2 linked regions of the Ovis aries genome follow. The protein of the gene in region 1 purifies or fractionates together with the protein of each later gene. This does not show direct contact. Links are inferred from orthologs where the notes say so. Each region holds a gene or a part of one and is shown in the gene's direction. Other genes may lie near its edges.

What was found. Proteins that work in one complex are often made in the same cells at the same time.
Region 2: the proteins of LARP1 (region 1) and PABPC4 purify together in Homo sapiens (affinity purification with mass spectrometry; 3 studies listed by BioGRID and IntAct, with this or other methods). This does not show direct contact. The link is inferred for Ovis aries from reciprocal best matches to the Homo sapiens genes LARP1 and PABPC4.

Annotation. Positions count from the first base shown.
Region 1 is NC_056058.1:63,733,474-63,738,207, forward strand, and holds the start of LARP1 (la-related protein 1), read left to right. Parts: upstream 1-1,820; 5' UTR 1,821-2,261; coding exon 2,262-2,700; intron 2,701-4,734. UniProt on the Homo sapiens protein: RNA-binding protein that regulates the translation of specific target mRNA species downstream of the mTORC1 complex, in function of growth signals and nutrient availability.
Region 2 is NC_056054.1:14,216,569-14,221,303, reverse strand, and holds the start of PABPC4 (polyadenylate-binding protein 4), read left to right. Parts: upstream 1-1,564; 5' UTR 1,565-2,448; coding exon 2,449-2,641; intron 2,642-4,735.

The DNA of each region.
Region 1 (4,734 bases):
AAAATAAAAAATAGTGCATGCTAGTGACAGTGTACAATAATTTACCTTCTGATTAAGGTTATATATAATGTAACAACAAAGAATCTGTTTTAATTCATCAAGATCCCTTTAATCATTTAATCATTTTCTTCTTTGTATCTCTTTTGAAGCACTGGCCTCAGTCTCTATAATTTACATAGTACTTTGTTTGACTGAAGTTGTCTCACTTGTCTCCTCACAAAAGCTGAGAGGTTAGAAGCAAGTCAAGCATAATTTATCCTCATTTGTCTACCAGGGAAGGGGCTCCAGTGAAGTGCTGAGAGCTGGCCAAGGTGTGGACACCACGTTATGGAAGAGTTGGGACCACACATCAGATTGTCTGGTTGTCCCCACCAGCACCTCTCCCCAGTGGTCCTGGTTACAACCACCCTACAACTAACCTCACCCCTTGGGGGCAGTTTCAAAAGGCTGATTTTCAATAAGCCTTCTTTGTCCAGCAGGTCATGTGTTCTAATTCTTTTGGAGATGGCTAACACTCTTGGCTGTTATGTCTTGAGCAGGTGATATCATAGCCAGCCAGAGGCCAGGACTCCTCCAAGTGAAGTGTGGGACCACAAGCACCAACAGGGTTCTTGCTAAACATGTAGTTTCTTGGTCCAATCCCAGACATACCTGATTCCAAATACTTTGGAATCTGCATTCAAGGTTTTCCCTCATCATCCAAACTAAAGTAACTGATCTAGTGACCTACTGCGGTAGTAGCTACTGTCTTCATAGATATGAGACAAGCTCTTGTTCATAAGTTTGTTTTACTCTTTCTCCACCTCAGAATGCAAATTCCATGAGGTCCTTGCAAGCCTTGTTTTTTCCAAGCCTTGTCCCTAGAAACCCCCCACAGTAAATATTTAATTGAATGTGCACTAAAATTTGAAACCACTGTCTTCATTTTATAATAGGGAAACTGAGACCCAACTAATGCAGAGTTGGTAAGGGGCAGGACCAGGGTCAGGATAAAATCTCGGATCTCGAGAGTTCCAATTCGGCGTTGGTTCGTCTCTGGCCCAAGCAATTCTTATAAAAACTGAAGTCCATTTGAGGGAGGGGGAAAAAAAAAAAAAGACATTTCTCGCCCATAAATACTAAGTTTCAGGGCTTGGCCGGGTTGGGGGCTGTTGGTAATTTCCTGCTCACTTCCGAGACGCCCGATGCCCCCAAGGGTTAAAGACCCGTCTTCTAGGCCAGGTGTCCGCACAGTGACCTGGCCAGGGCTGCCTGGGAGGAGCCGAGCACAGTCCGCGGAGGTGAGGCCGGCTCACCCAAGGTCACCCAGGCGGGGCCTGGAGGGGCCAGGCCTATGGCACGCAAGTAAGGCGACAGCACCCCCACCCCATCATCCTGTAAGCTTAGGGTGATATTAATGGCTCTTTCCCCAGATTCTGGCGCACCCAGCCTAAAGAGCAGGAGCAGGCCCCGCCAGCCGCGTGGCGCGGTCCCATGTGCTCCACCTGCGGACGCTCTCACGCGCTGGCTCTTTAAGACACTTCCCCCTCTTTATACCACCCGGTCTCTCCTACCCGGCTTGCTGACCGCCCCCCCTTCCGAATTGTATCAGGCACGTGCTCGCCCCGGTCCGGTTTGAGTACCCCTCACCCACCAGCCGGGGAGGTGCACCGAGGAATCGGAGGCCAGGGGCGGGACCAGGGGCGGGGCCGCGAGGCCCTGCGCGCGCGCTCCCGCCGCCTTCGCCCGCCCGTCGCCCAGGGCCAGCCCCGGCGGGCGCGCCCCCGTTGCGCCGTCCCCTCCCCTTGCCCGCTGCGTCGCGAGGCGCGCGCCCGCCCGCCGCCTGCCGCGGATCGCGTGGTCAGCTCGGCTCGCCGCGCCTCTCCCCCGTCCGTCCATATTGCTGCAGCCCCCGTGCCGGGAAGCCCGGGCCGCCCCGGGGGCGGGGGGGAGGGAGGGACGGGACGAGAAGCCTGCCAGGCTCCGGGTGGGGGCTCCTTGCGAGGAACGGGCGGGGGGGGACGCGCGCCGAGGAGGCCTGGACCGCAGAGTGGGGGGCCTTCCTCCCCCCCCCCCCCCGCCCCGCCAGCGGGCCTTGGATCTACGGCGGCTGCATCCGACCGGGAGGGGGGGCCGTGCCTAGCGTGAACCCCGACCCTTCTCCGCCGGGACTGGGGCCCAGCGCCCCGGAGGAAGGCGTCGCGGGCTCTCTGAGAGCCAAGTTCGAGGCGGGGGAGGCAGCCTCGGGCGCGCCCGGCTTCTCCGGGGGGGCGGGCGCGCAGATGGCCACTCAGGTGGAGCCGCTGCTGCCGGGGGGCGCCCCGCTCTTGCAGGCCGAAGATCACGGGGGTCTGGTGAGGAAGAAGCCGCTGCCGCCGCCCGAGGGCAAGGGCGAGCCGGGGGCGAACGACGTCGGAGGCGGGGAGCCGGACGGCGGCACCCGAAGACCTCGGCCGCCCTGCGCCAAGCAGCACAGGGAAGGCACCGGGCAGCTGGAGCGCGAGAGCCCGCGGCCGCCGCAGCCGCCCGGCGCCGAGGGCCTGGCCGTCAGCGACGGGGAGGAGGGCGGCGGCGGCGAGCCGGGCGCTGGCGGAGGAGCTGCTGGAGCCGCGGGCGCCGGGCGCCGAGACTTCGTGGAGGCCCCTCCGCCCAAGGTGAACCCGTGGACTAAGAACGCGCTGCCACCGGTCCTGGCCACCGTGAACGGACAGTCTCCTCCAGGTGGGTCTCCGTTTGGTATTCCGGGACCGGGGGCCTCTTCCGGGGACATAGGCGTCCCCTCCCCCAGCGGCCTCCAGGGCCCGGGGGTCCGCCGCAGTGGGTCGTGGTGACTCGGGTTTTTTTTTTTTTTTTCCATTATCCTGGCTAATTCAGGTCGCCGTGCCCTGCCCCCCCCCCCCCCCCCCCCCCCCCCACCCCAGCACACTCGGGAACCTGCCCCTGCCGCAGGGCCCGGCCTCCAGGAGGCTACGGCCACCGCCTGGGCCGCAGCGGTTAGTGGGCAACGGCGTGGTCCCGGCCTATCTCGCGGGGAGAGGGGCGGGCGCTGGTTTCGGTGAAAGGGGCCCTCCCCCCCGCCCCCACCGCGTGTCTGTGTGAGAGACGGTTTCTTGCCTGAACCTTCCTCGGGAAGCCCCCTCCGCCCCCCCGCCCCGTGTTCCTCGTTTTGGTAGCGTTGCTATCGTCCCCGTGTTGTAAATGTTTAATGAGTATATGTCATAGGCAGCAAAACGCCCGGCGATGAGTGCATACCGACCACACAGATTCGGGATTTAAAAGTTAACAAGTTTGTTCTCGAGTAGATGGTGTTAGGCGGTAGAATGGCCGTGGGCGACGGCTCGAGGGGTCGGTTACGGGGAGAATGGGGAGAAGAGGAAACCCAACGTGTCATTGAATTCGGTGCTTTCCCTCGCCTGATCCTGGGGACCTTCCGCCTTGTGAGGGAGCCGGATGGCGAGTGTGCGGGGCGTCCAGTGAGGGGAAATGTGAGGCGAGTAAGGGGGCATGCAGCGACTCGAGGGGCGTGTGGCGGCGGGGGAGGGAGTGGCCGGGCCAGGCCGGACGGGCGGGTGACAGTTGGGCGCCATGCGCCGCGCCGCCGGCCCGCGGGCTGCTCGCGGCCGCTCGGCCTGGGCGTTCGGCGGTCGCCGCGGCGCTCGGGGCGGAAGGCGGGTGCGGGCGGCGCGGTCGGGAGTGTGCGTGTGCGCGGGTGTGAGTGCGCGTCCCCCCTTCCCGGCATTCCTCCGCAGCCGGGACAACGTGGTGCCTCCCCGCGCGGCTGGCGGCATGTGACCGCCGAGCGGCGCGCCCTCCCTCTCCCTCCTCGACTTCTTTGGGTCCTTTCGGACCCGGCCTCTCGGGGGAGGTGGGTGTGCGGGAAGTCCCCGCAGAGCCTTGTTGGTGGGGGAAGGAGGGTAAGGAATATGGAGTCTCCGCCAGGCCTTCCTTTGCCGAAAATAGATCTTCGCCTTTGGTGGGGGGCGCGCCCGCCCTGCTCCCTTTGCCGGCCCGTAGAGACACCCTGGGGCTGGATTCTTGGGTTCAGGATCTTCTTGCAGTGAGCCGGTATTAAAACCCAATTGGAGCTACTACGATGGCCTGTGGCCATAGCCCTACGGCTTTTTCAGAACTCCTCCCCTTCTGCTTGAGACTGACTGGTTTAAACCATCAAAATGAAAAAAAAAAAAAAAAACCATCAAAATGGGGAAAGTTGAAAGGGCAGCTTAATGCTTTCACATTCAAGGGAATAGAATCCCTCGTAGTCCCAGGGAAACCAGAACACCGAATTCTGAAAATGGCATGTTGTAATTTTTATTTCTTTATAAGATTGCTTCATTTGGGGGAGGGGACCTTTGGCTTTTACTAATAGTACCTCAAACCGTGTTCTCTTCCTTTTGCCCTCCTCCCCTTCCCCCCCTTTTCCTTCCAGAACCCTCTTATGCAAAGGGCAGTGCTGAAATCTCCATTTTCTTGCAAATCTCTCCTGATCCACCCACGGAGGGAGGAAAAGCAATTTGAAGATACTCTTTGGTCCTTCCCCCCTCTTTAAACTCAGGGTATAATCATCCGGAGGAGAGAGCACTCCTCAGAAGTTTAAATGGGGCTACTCACTCTGGCTGCTGCTGCTCTGCTAATGGTGAACCTGCCTTGTGGGTTTTAAATCAGCCATGACATCAGGTGGTGTTGGATGTCTGAGCTGGCATTTTGTGCAAGTCTAGGGGCCCTTGGTAGGGTGCGTCACCGGGGTTATTGATC
Region 2 (4,735 bases), on another chromosome or scaffold:
CCCAGGGGATCTTCCCAACCTAGGGATTGAACACAGGTCTCTTGCATTGCAGGCAGATTCTTTACTGTCTGAGGCACCATGGAAGCCCATTAGTTTGCTTACAGATTGGAAATCTGAGTCAGAGATGTCAACTAGCTTGCTCAAGGTCACACAGGTAGTAAGTTCCCCACTAGATAGCTACACAAGGTTAGGGACTATGCAAGGTTTACTTATGGTATTCATTTGTTTAACAGATATTATTATTTAGTATGTGCCATGTAGGCACTGGCCCATGTTTCTGCTCTCATGAAGCATTCTTACAGTGGGAAACAAACCAAACAAGCAAACACATATGTGAATGACATGATTTCAGATAGTGAGCCTTGAAGATAAGAAGACAGAATGGTGTGCTGAGATGTACGGTGCTGGTAAGCTACTTTAAACGACTTGGTGGTCTAGGAAGGCTTCCCTCAGGAAGGCATCTATCTATAGATGGAGTGCTCCATAAATGTTTCTTGATTTAATACACTACCCCCCCCCAAAAAAAATACACTACCTCGAGTATAAATGTCAAGAGAGAGAGGGACTTCATCTGCCTTGTCCGCCATGGTATCCGCTAGCACCTTTATCTGGTGTTGACATAGAGCGAGCCCATTTCTTTGAGTAAATGTATAAATACTATTGGCTGCGCTTCCCTCGTGGCTCAGAGGTTAAAGTATCTGCCTCCAATGCGGGAGACCTGGGTTCGATCCCTGGGTCAGGAATATCCCCTGGAGAAGGAAATGGCAACCCACTCCAGTATTCTTGCCTGGAGAATCCCATGGATGGAGGAGCCTTGTAGGCTACAGTCCACGGGGTCGCAAAGAGTCGGACACGACTGAGCGACTTCACCTTCACAAATACTATTATCTCTTCATTCATTCATTTAATCAAACCAATGGTTTTCAATGAGAGCATTTGTGTGCCTTTTAGTAATGTCCAGTTTTCAGTGTCCTTAAATATCAACTAAATTTCCAGGAAGACCACAACCTTGTAAATAGAGGGATGATTGTATCTTGTTTTATTGAAGCTTTTCCAAAATTTGTTCATCTTTCCAGAGCATTTCATCACCCACGGGTACTACTGCAGGAGGAGCTGTCGTGTTCCCGATGCAAGGTCCCAGTAATCTAAAAGCTTCTTTATTTGGGCCCAATCATGTACATGGAGCACCTATTATGTAACTATAATTTACTTTATATCATCTTTATTTTACACTTCGGCAAGACACTGATTACAAACATGATGCGCGCGAGTGGGTGACATTATCCTTGCGTTCTAGTAGCAGATGAGCGGGTGGTTTACACTGCAGCCTTCCGTAGGGAAAGCGGCGCTTGGGTCCGGCCGAGGCCCTAGCGGAGCGGTCCTCCGAGCGCCAGGGGTCGCTGTGGCGCCGAGCGGCCGCGCCGGGACGCTCTCGTGTGGCCGCCCCGCCTCGGGCCCCAGGGCCGAGTGGGCGGGCACGACTGCGCCCAGGTCGCGAGGCGCCCTTCGACCAGCAGCGCCCGGGGCGGGCGGGTATAAATGGAGCGGTGGCTCCCCCGGCCGCCTCTCTCCGCCCCGGGTCGCCGCAGCCTCCACGACTTTCGGGCCTAGTAGCCTGAAGAAAAAAATAAAAGAAAAAAAAACCCGAAAACGCTTTAAAATTAAAAAAAAAAAAAGAGAGAAAGAAAAAGAAAAAAACGAATCCTCTTCGGAGAAACCGCGGGGAAGTCACTTTCGCACGCTTCCGGCCTGCCCGCCGCTCCGCACCTGGGCGTCTGTCGGTCCCCGTCCGTCGGTCCGGTGGTGAGCCGCCCGCGCGCCCGCGTCCACGCGCCGCCGCCCGGTTGCGCCGCGTGGCAGCCCCGCGCCCGCCGCCCTCGCCCCCCGCGCGCCGGCCTCCCCACACCACGTGTCCGCGCTGCCCTTCGCCGGCCCGGCGTGGGAGGCGGCTGCGCGCTCCGGCCGCCCGGGGCTTGCCGAGTCGGCACCGACAAATATTTGGTTTCCCTCTTCCCCGGGCTGCTGTAATCTTAAACCGCCGGGAGCCCGAGGCCTATATTTATAGAGAAACGCGCGTCCCGGAGGCCGCCGTGGGCACCGCTGGGTTGCCTCTGGAAATTTTTTTGTCATTCGGAGGGGAGTCCCCGTTTTAATTTTTTTCCTTTTTTTTGAAATTGGGAGCTTCAGACCAGGACAGCTGAAAAATCAAAAACTCCCAGGGAGGGCCATATTGTTTTTGAGAGCCTTTTGTCTGCGGTTTGGCAGTCTCGTCCGAGCCGTCCCCGAACTCCTCTCCGGCCCTCGGAGCCGACTGCCAGCTTCTCCGAGCTTCACTGCCACCTGTGAGCCGCGGCGTGGGCCACGGCTCCGAGCGGAGCCCCCTTTGTCCTGTGCGGTCCCTCTTAAGAAGTCCTCCTGGCGGGGCTCGGGGTGGTGGGGGCTGGGGAGATGAACGCTGCGGCCAGCAGCTACCCCATGGCCTCCCTGTACGTGGGTGACCTGCACTCGGACGTCACCGAGGCCATGCTGTACGAAAAGTTCAGTCCTGCGGGGCCTGTGCTGTCCATCCGGGTCTGCCGTGATATGATCACCCGCCGCTCCCTGGGTTATGCCTACGTCAACTTCCAGCAACCGGCTGACGGTGAGTACGAGCAGTGGCCACAAACCTGTGGGCTCCCAGGAGACCCTGGGGTCCTTCTCCAGGTGGGTCCCCACCCCCGGGGAGAGGCATGCGAGAGCGCACAGAAGCCTTAGTAGGGGACGGGATGCGGGGGTTGAGATCCTGGGATCCTGGCATCAGATGACCAGAGTTTCAGTCTTGCTTCCACCACTTTCTAACTGGGTGACCTTGGGCTAATCAGTGGTGGGAGGAGGGGGTGTTGGAGCCCAAGGAGGACCAGAAGGAAGTTGCTGTCATTCCGTGTGGGGGTAGCGGGGCTGCTCTGTTAAGAGAGCCTTAGGTGGCCAGGGGCTCCGGCCCCTCACAGGCTTGAGGAAAAGTTAGGATGATTGAAACACAATTTATTCCAAAATTTTACATGGCAAAACTGCTGTCCCCTCCCCTCACTTGACCCTAAGCTTAAAGAGTCTTTGGTTTTGTGCTGATGGATCTTTCAGGGGCAGGTAGGGAGCAGGGGAACAATTCTGTGTGTTGAGCTTGAGCCGGCACTTGTGTTAGCACAACCAGAGTGTGTGGTGCCAGGCCAGCTCCCTGGGCTTTGGAGCAGGTTGCGCAGGTAGTCAGGGAGGCGCCCCTTGGAAATCCACTAGGCTGTTGGGGATTATCACCTCACCTGTGGACAGTGCTTTACACTTGTCAAAAACCCTTTCACTTCATCTCATCTGAAAAAGATAGGACCTCCGAAGAGGAAAAGGAACTGCGAGAGGCTGGAGGCTAAGCTGGGACTGTGGGTGCCGTGCCCTGCAGGCCTGGCCTGAGTGGGGCCCAAAGAAACCTAATCGGGGGCTGCACGTGACTCCAGAACAGAAGGGGACAGCCGTAGAGACAGACCATTGCTGGGAGAACGAGCTGTCCTGTGGCAGAGGGTCTCGGGTCCCTACTTTTTCCCCCACTTGGTCCACTGTCCGTGAAACCCACAGAATGTCACTTGCCCAGGATGCAGCTGAGACCAGATAAGTGGACTTGAGAGACACGGCACTGCTCCGGTCAGCTCAGCGGGCTCTGGGTTTTTTCTGGCCACAGGGCACAAGGAAGTAGCTGAGTGTGGCCTTTTTAGGGGGGAGTAGTGGGCCCATTGGCTCTTGTCAGCCTCCTTGACTCTTCTGAACAAAAGTCCTGTCACTTAGAGATAGTAGCACAAGCCATTGGTTAGTGTGTCTGCCAACACATACCTCTGCAGGACCTCTCCCTGCTATAAATAAGTGCAGCCAGATTTGTCAGACTAAGCCGACTTGCCTTGTGCAGTGCTGTCTGGAAATAGACAGGAGCCGTGTTGAAACGGGCTTCTTCCTTGCTAATTCATGAAACACAGTTTGGGGTCGCAGGCTGTGGATCAGAGTCCTCAGAAGTGAGCCCTTCGGTCCTGGACATTTGCTGACTTGGACATGCCGTCTCCCCTTTCCCTGACCACCTTCCCTTATACTGAACGAATCTAGCTGAGAACAGTGGGAAAGGTGGTTGGAAGTACTGAAAAGGAGCTACTCTGCTGGCTGACTGGACAGATGAGCTTGTGGAGGGGAAGGCTTAGGGATCTTGTCCCTATTTTAAGTGAGATGGTGCCTTGAGGCAGGGGTAACACCCCCTGCCCCTGTCCTTTCCTGGAGGAGATTCTGGGTGATGTCAGTGCGTAAGTCAGGAAAAGTGGGTCTGAACCGGTTTACTGCCGGTAAAGAGAAGTGTTCTGCTGACAGATGTTGTATACCTGGGTTTGGTTGAGAAGTGAAGGGAGATCCCAGAGCACCAGGTTGAGAACTTGATTGGGCACTGGGACATCTGAAATTCCTGGAATTCCTCGGAACTCAGATGGAGGCTTGATAGCCTAGAAACCATTAGGTGCAGGGCCTGACTGCTCTGGCGGCTTAGGCGGCAAGGTGTTGAGGTTTCATCCTGCTCATTCTGATAATACAAAGGACATTTCCATGTGTGACCATCATTTTGATAATTAAGGTTTTTTGTCTGAATTTTCCCAGAAATTAAAAATACAGGAAACTGGGCTGAATTCAGAGAGCACGTTTTCCCCAGTGATCGTTCACAGGATTTTTTTAGTCATTCGTC